Mytilus edulis: one gene and its partner. The protein of the gene in region 1 purifies or fractionates together with the protein of each later gene. This does not show direct contact. Links are inferred from orthologs where the notes say so. Each region holds a gene or a part of one and is shown on either strand. Other genes may lie near its edges.

Region 1 (7,332 bases):
AGAAAAATTGTCCCAAAATTTTGAATTCAGTTCTACGTAATGAACATTTAAATGACACATAGTTTACAAGTGAGAACAAATCTTATGTACAGGTAGCTAAACAAGGTGTATAGATGTGAACAAATGTAATGTGAAACCAGTGCACACTACACTAAACTAATTGTAAACATGTTTACTCTACACGGTGTTTGGTGTGAACACGGCCTAAAATAATTTGGCTCGTTTAACTTTATTTCAATTCTAACATAGTGTTTACTTTGACCCTTTGACAAAGGTATAAAAATTTGAACCAACCATTTAATCAGAAAAAATACACTTGTTGTATTGCAGTTTGTCAAAAACTTATTCTGATCATTGAGAAGCTTAATATTACATTAACCACACAATGTAATCAAAAAGTTTTGCTGATTTTACAGAGTTATCTCCCTGTAGTGTTAGGTACCATCTTAACTATTGAGTTGACCTCTAAAGTCATCTGATGACCATATAAGCGATGTAAACATATATATATATTATAGATATAAATAAATTAGCAAACTCATGTTGCTGGATTTTTCTAGGTCTATTTAATTTCACATGATAAAATAAATGTTTATCATTGTTTTTACCTGTGTAACAATGACTTTTTTGTGAATCTAATCAGTCAATCAAATGATTTACCTTTGTTTCACTTTCAATGTTGACATTCTTTTCCTTTAAATAACTTTACACATACAATTCACATGTTATCCATCTCAAGCTAAGGGGTTTAGTTGAAGCTCACATTAAAACCGATTTAATGAGGTTGAATTATTCACTTGCAAGTGGATAATTCATAATCAGTGCTCTAGCTAGAAATCAAAAGGGGCAGGGTGCCAGTGGAGGGCAGGGCACTTTTTATGATAAGAAAAGGCACTGCTCATTTTTTTTGTCTACGTTTCTGTGTGTATCACGAGTTAACGAATCTCTTTTTTTTTTTTTACTGTATATGTTGTTTTTTTTAAATAAAGATGCTTTTCAACTATAGTCTTTATTTCATTGTTTGTGTAGTTATGAATGATATAGTACATCTTCATCAACATATCATGTTTTTACAGTTTAACTTCACTCTACCCATTATCAAAGAATATGTGTTTTTTTTTTTGTTTTTTTTTTATCTATATAGAAATTATAGCTTTTAATACATCATATGAACTGATATATATATGGTGGTGTTTAACGACCTTGACTGGCTATACAGCCCTGGCACGGTCGGTAAGAAATGAACTTGAAAGCCTTACTAATTTAACAATGTTTAGAACATGGATTGCTAAAAGTATAATTATCAAGTAGAAATTGCAATATATATTTTTTAATATGTTCAAAGACAGTTAATATCTTTAAGGTAACATTATTATGTTATTATATATTCAATTGGTAATTTATTCCTTTTTTTGATACTAGATAATATTTTTAGAGCACAAATTTGTAATAAGCTAAAACAGGGGAAGTAACTCCAAAATCAATTTCCACCACCTTTGGGTTAATTAAAAACTGTGCTTGTCGCTAACAAGTTGAGATGGAAGGCATTTCTGTAAAGGCATAGTTTTATTTTGATGACTTAAATTCAATTCTAAAGTCATGAAAGTCTTCATTTATATACGCTCTTCCATTGTGACTTGGAGATTGAAAACGCCGACCCAAGCTAAACACACTCGCTGACACATTCATCACTTATTAATTAATGTTTTTGTCGCTTATTTTGACAAAATTGAACCATACATGTACATACTGGGTGCTAAAAGTGAAATCTTATTTCACTATTTGCATTTCACTAATGATTGTGCAAAAATAATAATGTATAAGATTTTTTATATATCTCCTAGCTAGTGCCCCTTTAAGTGGGGCAAGTTGGCAGGAGAAAAATTTACGGGATGTACATGCAACCCTTTTCACAAGTGTTCCGATTTTTTTTAAAGTGGGACGAGTTGGTGAAAAAGCAGCAATTTTTCCTGCTTCCACATCATCTTTCCATCAGAAAGTAAAGTTAAAGGATAATTCTAACTTCTTAAGAAATTCCTGTACAGGAACAAGTCGACAAGAAGAGGGGCACAGTTAGTTCCCATCTGAATGCAGATATAAAAAAAGAAGATGTGGTATGATTGCCAATGAGAAAACTCCCCATGAGAGACCAAAATGACACAGAAATTAATAACTATAGGTCATTGTACAGCATTCAACATTGTGCAAAGCCCATACCGCATAGTCAGCTATAAAAGGCCCTGATAGTTTGTTGAAAAACAAGTTCTCCAAATGTCACAAATATGTTGTCAATCAAGAAATAAAGCATCTTGATAATGTCAGTTGTTGATTGCTTAAGCCTATATCTATGATTATATTTGATACGCTTTACTTGAGAAACCACTCTCTCAAGACTCAACCTTAGCTGTGCTCCAAAGCCTTATTGATGGCCACTATATATTGAGCCTTTTATGGGAAACCTGTTTCAGTGTGGCTAGTTTTTCTTTTAACTGATAAAACAGGCTACAGCAAAAATTCACATGTATGAATATAAGTTAAATAATAATAAAATAATTTTGCAGTAAGACAATTTGAAATACTCCAAAAATTATATTATGATATCAACTATCAGTATCATGGAACGTCCAGACTGTCAAGGAAATTTGGATTTAGTGTGTATAACCATAACATATAAATTCATGGACATGAGAGGGGACGAAGATGATATTTGCTTAGCAATATACAAAATACGCTGGTTGACAACTTTTTACTACAATAAACCAACATAATTTTGTAAACACTGGTTGACTGGGGAAGTCGAAGGGGCACTCACCAGCAGAGATTGTATCAACTAAATCATATCTAGACGAGATCTTTGGATATTCTCTTAATTTTCTGCCACATAAACACACTGCCCCGGTTGACTGAGCTTCGTCGAAAATCTTTTCTAGGGGTTTATGTGATGTTGGGCTCTGTGTTCCGGTGCTGAATGTTGTCGCCATTTTGTACTTTCATGTTGGATTCAGATTATGCGCAAGCGCACGACTTTAACATAAATTTTACACTGGTTCCCTGTATAGAAAAAAGTAAAAGCTTTCACAAAAAGCACAACTTACTAAAAGTTATACTTTTATTATAATTTAATTATACAGTATCTACTTTTTACTTGGAATATTTTTTTCTATTTGTATCATAACCAGCTTGCAATTTAAATTGTTTAGTTTCATTATCAGCTTTTCTATCAGTAAATTTCTTATAATTTTATTGTCCCAGTGTGTTGCATTTATAAAAAAGGGGACATAATAATACCAGACATCCTTCTGTTTAGTCTTGTTAGAAATCTCATGTTTAGGATTCAGTGAGAGACAGCAGTTCCTTGTAAACTTTCACAGAAACCTTACTTTTTAGATAATTCATCGCTTTATGTGTTATATGTACATCATGTTTTGAAACATTTTTTTATATGTTTTCATCTGAGACTACTATAACACTATGTGGTATATGTGTTATAGTAGTCTCAGGTTTTCATATTCAGTCAAATCGGTTTCATTGTTTGATATCATGCCGAATTCAAATAAAGTTTTCAAGATCAATAAAATTTCAATATGAAGGCCGCATTTCTTTTTGTAAATGTTGTGTCGCGTTTGTTGTTGTTTTCTAAACGCTACAAAAGTAGAAACAAATACATCGTTTAATAAGTCTTTACTGACCCTGTTTGAACTTCAATAAGGCATGCACATGTTGTTGGTAAACAGACTTTCTACAAACGCATAGAAACAAATACTTCGTTTAATCAGATTGAAGTAAGAAACAAATGTAGTGTGTGTCCTAACAAACAACTAACTGCAGACGCATTTTTATCGTTTGCCTAGTTTGTCAAAGTTTATGCAAACTTTACAAACATATGTTTGAAAGAAATGATCAAAACACATGCACGCTTAGCCGTTTGCATGGTTTGTGTTAGAAAAAATGCAATCCAAGTTATCATTAAAAATCTATAAAAAATGCATATTTTGCATTACAGAACATACCATCAAAGGATCGATTAAGCTAATTTAAGTTTTTTTTACATTGTTATTCTTATTGTATCAGCTGATTCAAAAAGTAATTGCAGAAACCCCAAGCTTCTCGAAATCAGAGCTTTCTAAGCTGAAGCAAATTATCCAAGCTGATATATCTGAACATTTCAAAAAATTCAAAGACCACTTTTTTTCAATCAAAATCATCATTTGGAATTTGGACAATTACCACACTATTCAGAAGACACTCAATTAAATATAGATTAGACCGTTGGTTTTCCTGTTTGAATAGGTTTACACAAGTCATTTTGGGGCCTTTTATAGCTTGCTGTTCGGTGTGAGCCAAGGCTTCGTGTTGAAGGACGTACTTTGGCTTATATAGCTTAATTCTGTTCAGTGTGAGCCAAGGCTTGGTGTTGAAGACGTACTTTGGCTTATATATATTAGTGTCACTGATGAGTCGTATGTAGAGGAGACGCGTCTGGGGATAAAATTATAATCCTGGTACCTTTGATGACTATTTACACCACTGGGTCGATGCCACTGCTGGTGGACGTTTCGTCCCACAGGGTATCACAAGCCCAGTAGTCAGCACTTCGGTGTTGACAAGATATATATGGCCATGAATACCATGATGATGGCACCCAGGTAAGTACCAGACTCCAAATAATCAAACTGTCAAATAGCAATTACTCTGTGGAACAACATTACCAATAGATAAGAACATGTTGTTCAATGGTGGTCATTTGTTGGTGAGGTTCATACACGCTTCTCGTTTTTTTTAAATATAGATTAGACTGTTGGTTTTCCTGTTTGAATAGGTTTACACAAGTCATTTTGGGGCTCTTTATAGCTTGCTGTTCGGTGTGAGCCAAGGCTTCGTGTTGAAGGACGTACTTTGGCTTATATAGCTTAATTCTGTTCAGTGTGAGCCAAGGCTTGGTGTTGAAGACGTCATTTGGCTTATATATATTAGTGTCACTGATGAGTCGTATGTAGAGGAGACGCGTCTGGGGATAAAATTATAATCCTGGTACCTTTGATGACTATTTACACCACTGGGTCGATGCCACTGCTGGTGGACGTTTCGTCCCACAGGGTATCACAAGCCCAGTAGTCAGCACTTCGGTGTTGACAAGATATATATGGCCATATTTATAAATTTCCTGTTACAAAACTTTGAATTTTTCGAGAAAAAAAAAGGATTTTCTAATTCCATGAATAGATTACCTTAGCCGTATTTGGCACAACTTTTTTGAATTTTGGGTCCTCAATGCTCTTCAACTTTGTACCCGTTTGGCTTTTTAACTATTTTGAGTGTCACTGATGAGTCTCATGTATGCGTCTTGCATATTAAATTATAATCCTGGTACCTTTGATAATTTATATAGCTTAATGCTGTTCGGTGTGAGCCAGGTTTAGGTTTGGTACCATTCAAACATTTAAACCTGCGGCAATTGATTGCACCTGTCGTAAGTCAGGTTTCTTATGTTCTGTAGTTGTGGTTTGTTGATGTGATTCATAATTGTTTTTCGTTTCTTGTTTTTTATATAGATTGCTGGTTTTCCCGTCTGAATGGTTTTACACTAATTATTTTTTGGGGCCCTTTATAACTTGCTGTTTGGTGTGAGCCAAAGCTTCGTGTTGAGACAGTACTTTGACATATAATGGTTTACTTTTATAAATTGTGACTTGGATGGAGAGTTGTCTCATTGGCACTCATACCTCATCTTCTTATATCTATGAATATGACAAATTTATTTCTAATAATTACAGGACAATCTATTATCTAGTAATAATATGACTGAAAACAACACAAAATTTAAGTTATCACATTTATTTTATGAGTTTTTGTGGAGAAAATGTTTCCCCATTTTAAAATTTCAACATCATAATGATTGCCGACACCATACTAATTGAAGTATGGATCAAATACGCCATAACAGTTCACTTAAAATAATACAATCCCAAAAAAATTATCAAAACATTTTCTTGGCCCAACTATTACTTCAACATACTTTTATTTCAAACCAGAACAAAAAAGTAGCAACATTTCGCTGATATTTCGTAAAATAATGATTTTTTTTTAAAAGCATATGAAGCATGACCTTAGTTCAATAATGTTTGTAAATGTTTATCAATATAAACAATGTATAAGTTTTTTTCTGTGATAATTTTGCTACTATAGGCAATCTGCTTTTAAAAAAAAAATCTTCTTTGAATCTACATAGATACAGTTTAAACTCCAATAATTGACAGCATCACTTTTGTTTCTATTCATTCAGTTTTATGGTCACTAATGTAAAAAATATGCCATGTGTAAATTTCTATGACAAACCATATTCTTTTTCATGCTGCTCTTTATAGATGCAGTAAAAAGAAACCAAGAAATTTGTCAAACATATATCTCTTGGATCTAGGGGACAAAATAACTCTGTATAATATTAAGCTGTAAAATGACTAGTTTCCAATTCATGAAATTTGTACATTTATAACATGATTTAAATTTTGTACATTATTATTTTTTTTCATCACATTTCTTAGATGATATATATTTTGTTAACCTTTCACTCGATGTTAATTTTGTATGTTGATGTGTAAGCTTTATTTTATAAAAGGTATATATTAACAGCATTTCCATTATATTATTTAACTCTGAAATATTCTAAGAACTGTTTATTTATACATAGTTGACAAAAAAAACTGTTCTTTAATCTTCATGCATGTATAATGACTATGTTTAAGTCTTTATTTCATACCAAAAGTGTGTTTTAAGGGCCTTTATTTTTTCTATTGAAAGTGTATTCAGTCTTGAACTAAAACATGTTGAGAAAATTGCAAAATAGTCATGTTTTATTCCACAGATTAAGAAAATAAAAATAACTGGCAAAATATTGTATTGTTTTAAAAAATTGATCAGCTATTTCCTGTGATCAGGAATTACAATGCAAATTTAAAATGTTAGAAAAATGCCTTGTTTTTTAAATCTTTCCTCCATAATGACGCCTTTCAACGCCTGTGTAGTGCCTCAGTTCAAATATATTGCCTACGACAAAACTTTATCAGACTTGAAAAAAATTGTATCTAATATAAAAAGGATATTCATGAGAATATCTGACTTGAATTTCATTGATGAAACATTTGTTTTTTCGCAATGCATTTATACTTTTAACCTGATGATTTGTTTTATTGAGAGGAAAGGGTTTTAATGGCAGTAAATTATGAAAGTTTAAACCATTATTTTTCAACTGACTTGAAGATAACTGAATATTTGATGATTTATATGTCATTTTATAGAAGACAAATCTAATGAAAATAAACCATTCTAGACATT
Region 2 (7,129 bases), on another chromosome or scaffold:
ATAACTTTTTCATGGACTAACATTAAAGGCCCTTCAATTAGTTCAATATCTGGTTTTACTTAATATAAACTACAATCATGAACACAACTACCAACAGATGTCTTAGGGGGTAATGACATTTGTACACTTAAACCACCATTAAAAACAATACATATACATGCAAAATAAGTCAAACACTTATCCAATAAAAGTAGACTGATCTAAGAGACCGGCAAGATTAAATCCAAAAAAAGATTCAATTTATTTCATAAAGTGCAGTCAGAGCATTTGATTCAGTTGATCAAACTTATGTTTGAGACTGATCTATTATTCTAAGGAAAAATATAAAGACATATATAGATATAAGATGTGGCATGAGTGCCAATGAGACAACTCTCCTTTCAAGTCACATTTTGCAAAAAGTAAACTTATATATATATATTGGGTCTGAAATGATATCGAAATAAAAGTGTGTAAAATAAAAGTTATGGGCAATATGAGGTAATAAACAGCTGGTAATAAATGCGTAAAACTTTGCTTCATGTTTTCTTGATAAGAATCAATTGGAGCTAGTTCTGTGCTTTTTACTTTTACTATCAATGTAATACAATGTACCTCTAGACTAATGGTTCCCAAATGAAAGGTATTATACTCCAGTAGTCAAGGTTTTTGAACTTGGCAATTAATATAATCATTATATAATGTAGAGTATTTTGAAGATTTATAAAAACTTAGGAAAATGTATATGATGTTCGAAGAGAATTTCTGGTGCTAAAAATACAAAATTTGATGGTCCTGATCATGTCATTTATTCAATCAGAAAAAAAATAGGTAAGAGTTTTTGAAAACATTCACATTTTATTATGTTTTGATCTATTTAGTCCAAAAGAGGAACTTTTAAAACCATTTCCAGATCATGTAGTGGACATAAAGTTTTGCATGTGATTGTTTATTCAAAATCAATAATTTGTCCAGCAATGTTTGTACAGTGCAAGATAATGAAGGGATTATACTATAGGCTCTTTATGATCTTGCAATTAAAAAGTCAATCTAACTGCATTATTTATTTGTCAACCAGTCTGCAGCTTTATTAGGTATAAAGACAGAAAAGGTCTTAATAACAATACCTGACCTTAAATTCTTGAGTTTACATAATATATCAAAATTACATTCTTGTTTATCTCTAATAAAGACAGGATATTTCCTGGTTCTACATTCCTTACATGCCATACATATTCAGATGTCTTCCATCATATTGTTTACAGCTGGCTACACATGAATGAGCACTGAGTTTCCCACAATACAAATTATAAACTTAATTTAACTACTTTGTACATAATTTAAGTGAAATCACAAAGAAAATACAATGTTTTCACATGGGAAATTTCATGGCTCCTTTGATAAAGATTGACCAAGCATTCATTACTTCATCTATGGCCAATTGTAGGTAGTTATTTCAGTTCAATGGTCAAATTTAAATCTTCAGCAGTTTAAAAAGGTCATTCAGATTTGTATTTTGAATTCAGTGTCTCCTTACTTTACATTACTGATGTTCAAAAGAAGCCAGATTATTCAAGTATTGTAGACTGACATTCTTTAAACATGTGTATTGTCTTACTCTTGACTAATGAACTGAAACATTCAAATTGAAATATGAACAGTAAAAGTTAAATTTTAAGGTTTAAAATTGATTGTCTAGACAAGAAAACAAAAATAATGCCTGGATAACATTATATCTATTGCAAAAAAGTATTGATGTACTATCTGACATCAGAGCATCCCAACTAAAGTATGTGTGGTATGTTACCAGTCATATATACACAGCTGGTACATGAATCAGCTGACTGAGGAGGTCCCCCACAGGGCAACTTATATTCTATGTTACAATTAAAATCCCTGGGGTCAATCAGATGAAATAAATATTTGTCAGGGGAGTTTTCTGTCATATACAAGAATTTGACAACTTGTGTCTGCTGTCAATCTTGAATGGATTGAAGGGTGTTGTTGTTTATGTATTTGTTTTTGTCATTATGTATGATGATTAATAGATAAGTAAGTTCTCCTTACTTATCCCCTAAGATGAGGTAACTATTTATCTTAATCTAGATACCTGATTTCCTAAATACAAAAGATCAGAACTGATAATATAATGAGAAATTTACACTTTTTGATCTCCCATTAAAAATTTGTATGGTCCCATTCAGAAAAGATATTGGTCACTTTACAGAGGCTATTTAATTCAAAATCTTGGTCAAGGACACCTACATAGGTATGACTGTACATCTAACATGCATACCCTACAAGTGATGTATAAACCATTAACACAAAAAGAATAGTAATGAAATAGAGAAGTTTTGTATACTAACGTTTGAGACGCATGGCTTGTAAATGGTACTCCTGTTCCTGTCTTAGCCAGTGCCCACGGTTTGACAACATACGATCATCCATGGCACTATCCATGACCAATAATTTGTTTTCACCACTTTCCTCATGAACCATTAGAATTAAATTTTATATCCTTACTTGTCCTGTCAAAGTATGTCAATGTTTTCCTGATGCAGACAAACAATTTTTTTCACTAATTATATGCAACTTTTAAAACATGCCAGTCCTGATATATCCATATGAACACAAAATGCATCAGATATGTTTTATATAATATCTTGATTTGTTGAGAACACCAAAGAAGTAGTATTGCACAGTGTAAATATCAATAAACTCTATAAAATATCAACAATAATAACAAATAAACAAACTATTGCAAGGATCCCAGGCCTTCACTTAAAATCCATCATAAAGGAAGTAAGACCATATTATGGTGCTGTGAACTCAAATGACCTCCATGGTAGACAGTCAAATTATTCACATCCTTAATGAGCCCTTTTTGCACAAGAAAATAATCCATAACAAATAATGGTCCAATACAGGGCAATGAAGGTGTTAAATTAAGGACACTTCAGGTCACTTTATGTCCCTGTAAAATTTACAGCAAAGCACCTGACAACACAGTGACAGAGGAGCCATAATTGGATCAAAGATGATATGTGCCTGAGGTTACTGACTGTTATCAGCCAATCAGATTCCTTCTTACATCCATTATCTGGATGTAAAATGTTGTCTGGTCAATATGTAATGAGAAGTCTAGAGGAGATATAGAGGCTCCCTAAGGGTGTGTGACATTATGTAATAACCATTTTTCCAGTTAATTTACTTAGGAAAGCTGTTAAGATGCTCTGATATATAAATAAAATGTAAACATTTTGTTTAGAAATAGTTTGAATAACACTTATCAGGTATTTATAACAAATTTGAATATTTTGTTAGATAACGAATAAATAATTATTTACAATATTTTGATAATCAACAGCTCATGCGATTTGAATTTTATGAACTAAAAGGAGGTATGTATAAGTACCAGTACCTAAAAAAAAGTTTCTATAAATATATTTAATATAAGCAAACAGCAAATGAAACACAAAACTCTGAATTAATCTAATGGGGATCTCTAGAAGTGTTTTTCTTTTCTTTATTATGGTTGGGCTAAAAAAAGGAGGGTACATGTAGGTACAGATTTTTTTTTATTTTACCATTTTTGTTTCATTGAGTGTATGGGATGGACATTCTGACTTTAATAGTGCTCATTGAAAAATGACCCAAAAAACTTTAAGGTAGGCTATTTTTTATTTTTGATAATAGGGAAGGTAGGGTAAAAGGAAACACAACTTTTTTTATTTGGCCTTGGTGGTCTGCTTTCTCCTTTTTAGAAAGGATTCCTTTGGATTTTGTTTAAGAAAAAAAAGTAAATATATTTTATTTAACTCCAATTCAGTACTTCATATATTTCTAGCTCCAAATTTTTTAGAGCTTTCTATTATGTATAATTGTATATCAAAAATTCTAATTGAAAAAAATTAATTGTGGATTTTTCAGAAGCAATTCGAAAAATATTCCATCAAAACCAGTTATAAAACAATTCTAAATTGTTCTTACCCCCTATGCAATGCAATAATAGGAAAAATTTGAAGATACAATGTACATTCTTTAAAACTTTTTGGGGTAACAAAAAATTACATGTGTAATTCCAGTTTAGTCCTACAAAAAGGGGACATTGGGTGTGCATTTTTTTTATTGTCAAAAATCAGTTCAATTATTTCACATGCGCCTGTTGGAGGTAACAATTTATAGCTAAATAGAAATTTCAGTTGCCAAAAATCTGCAAATTAATTATTGAAATTCACATTCAACAAAATGGGATCATTTAACAATTATTTTTTCCGAAATGGATTCTTTTGCTTTTCTATTGGCAAATTAAGTTTCTCCCCCTGGCTTTTCAAATCTGCAATTAAATAAATGGGAATTGTGTCCATGGGACACAGAAGATCCCCCCACTTATCTTATAAAGTTACAAAGGGAAATAACTGAAGAAAAATAAAAGTGATGCTACCCAAATGTGTACTTGATCTGAGTTTCAGAGGCGGATCCAGGGGGGGGGGGGGGGGGGTTCCGGGGGTGCGCACCCCCCCTTTATTTTTGCCGATCAATGCATTTGTATCGGGACATATGTTTTGCACCCCCCCTTTGCCCTGGGTTAGCACACCCCCTTTCGAAAATTCCTGCATCCGCCCCCGAGTTTTGAGGTAATAGTATTAGTGTTTCCTACAGGTGGTTTTGGCGTGTAATGGCGCCCTGTTGTGAATAAGTTTCATAACATTTGGTAGAGGTGAACTCAAGATAGAAAAGGTAAACAAAAAATCAGCAATGTTTCAATCAATATTATAAACAAGCATAACTCTAGAACAGTAAAAGTGACATCATCAAATTCAAACTTGATGTGCATTTTAAAGTTAAAAGCATTGTGTATATGTTTCGTAGCATTTGGTTGAGGCAAACTAAAGTAAGAGAACGCAGAATTCTCCATTTGTACAGGAGCATAACTCTAGAATGGTTGAAAGTGACACCACCAAAATGCAAACTTGATCTGTGTTTTGTGGTAATAAGCATAGTGTATAAGTTTCATAACATTTGGTAGAGGCAAACTAAAGTTGGAGAACAAAAACGAAAAAAATTCAGCAATTTTTCCATTTGCAAAGGGATATATACCTTTAGAATGGTTAAAATGATGACACCAAAATTCAAATTTGATCTGTGTTTTGTGGTTGAATCTGTAATAAGCACTGCATATAAAATTATATAACATATGGTTGAGCAGGGTTTGAAATTAGCATAGATGCCAACCCCCTTTTGACACAATCAGTAACAAACTATCAAATTTTCCGTATTTTTGAAAAGTTTTCAGTAATCATTTATATTAAACGTGCATTTACCAATCAAAATTACTGACGAGTGGTTGCAAAGTGATGTACACTAAAATTTGTCATTTAACATGTTGTCTGTAGTATGTATTCCATTCATTAATTGTTCAGATGCTCTCGACTCAAACATTTTTGTTTTGTCAAGGAGAAGTAGAGAAAGGGAAAAAGCTACTTAATAAAATGCAAGTTTGACTCTTCGGAAGTCAATTAGTTACCCAACAATAGGTTGATAACTCCCGAGAAACCGGAAGCATTAGATTGGCGTTTCCTAAATACTGGACCCGGACGGAAAAGTAATGATAAAAATCCGCGTTTTACAAAATTGAACGTCGGTGATTGGGAATCCGTAACTATTCGACTTTGACCGTAATAGCGTAGTTTATATCGCAAAATCGGAAAAACTACGGAAAAATCGTAATAGTTGGCATCTATGAATTAACAGGGGCCCACTTGCCAATGGCCCCTACAATTTAGTGTGCCAGGGCTCCTAAAGTTTCTGCTTTTCTTGTATTTAACTGTATATATTGGCTACCATTGCCAAACTTTAACGGAAACCACTGTGGTTGAGGCAAACTAAAGTGAAAGATCGCAAACCAACTTTGGGACAAGGAGAAAACATAATGCTCCTCCGCTACTGCAGGGGCATGAAATAAGTGTTTTGTAAAATAGACTTCTTATAATGAACAGAAGTAAACAATGAATTTCAGATTAACAGAAAACTGGATGTTTTAACATATTTTATTTGTGTCCTGGCATTTTTCAATATCACAAGAATCAAAACTCCTGAATGGTAAAAGTGACATGTACAATCATCAATATTTGACTTCAACTTGACCTTCATTTTTCACAAGTTACAACATATATTAAAATTTTAAAAGCTTTGATTGAATGGTTCATGAGTTAAAGCATGATCATGACTGCAAACACCATTTTTCAATCTGTCAAGAAACAACTCCTGAACGGTGAAAGTAAAAATCGTCAATATCAAACTTGACATCCATTTTGTCATCAGAATCATTACAACATACAAGATGTGAGAAGCTTTGGTAGAACAGTTCATGAGAAAATGCATGGACACCGTTTGGCAGTCACCTGCCTCGATGTTGCAAGAATAAATTAGAACTTTTAGTTGGCAGCTTATAAAAAATTTAGTGTTCTTGTTAGAACTGCTATACATTTGTCATGTTGGGCCTTTCACAGCTTGCAATGTGGTATGAATTTCTCTGAATATTTACAAATTGAAAGTACCACCTACAAACATCAGTCAACACTAGATATTTACAAAACCTCAGGGTTGCTAATAATTGACTAATTCCTTGTTGTGTCTGTTTGGGTTAATCAACCAATTTTGTTAATATATGGGAACTTAGTATGAAGATCTCTCATACAAGTGGGAGGTAAAGCTAGCTATAAAGCAATGGTTAACCTACCATTTTCTTCTGGAATACATCTGTGCCAAAGTTATTAATATGATATTTGTTTTCCACTCGATACATGTATGATAGATAATATCGTTTGATTGTCAGTTTGTATGGACCTTCCTTATATAATTTAAAAGTTTTTAGGTTTACCTGGAGGTTAAAGTTTTTGCTTATTTTTTACATTGTAAGGTCATTCATGACCTGACGAAAAAATTCTAGCTATTACATCATTTGATCTCTAATGAAGAGTTGTCTCACTGGCAATCATACATCTTTTTATTTTTCTATATCCACTGCATGATCTAAAAGAAAAGTCTGACAACTCTGAAATGACCCATTGGATATCTAAATAAAAGAAATATCTCTTTCTTTATTTCAATTACAACAACTTAAGCCAAGATTTAAAAAAATTGTTGG

Evidence for each region. The genes of interacting proteins can lie anywhere in the genome.
Region 2: the proteins of leucine-rich repeat and calponin homology domain-containing protein 2-like (region 1) and dual specificity tyrosine-phosphorylation-regulated kinase 1B-like purify together in Homo sapiens (affinity purification with mass spectrometry; 3 studies listed by BioGRID and IntAct, counting the BioPlex papers as one, with this or other methods). This does not show direct contact. The link is inferred for Mytilus edulis from reciprocal best matches to the Homo sapiens genes LRCH3 and DYRK1A.

What each region holds. Positions count from the first base shown.
Region 1 is NC_092346.1:79,333,800-79,341,131, reverse strand, and holds the start of leucine-rich repeat and calponin homology domain-containing protein 2-like, read right to left. Parts: upstream 3,046-7,332; 5' UTR 2,982-3,045; coding exon 2,813-2,981; intron 1-2,812. UniProt on the Homo sapiens protein: As part of the DISP complex, may regulate the association of septins with actin and thereby regulate the actin cytoskeleton.
Region 2 is NC_092348.1:79,382,743-79,389,871, reverse strand, and holds the start of dual specificity tyrosine-phosphorylation-regulated kinase 1B-like, read right to left. Parts: upstream 3,057-7,129; 5' UTR 2,479-3,056; coding exon 2,346-2,478; intron 1-2,345. UniProt on the Homo sapiens protein: Dual-specificity kinase which possesses both serine/threonine and tyrosine kinase activities. Exhibits a substrate preference for proline at position P+1 and arginine at position P-3.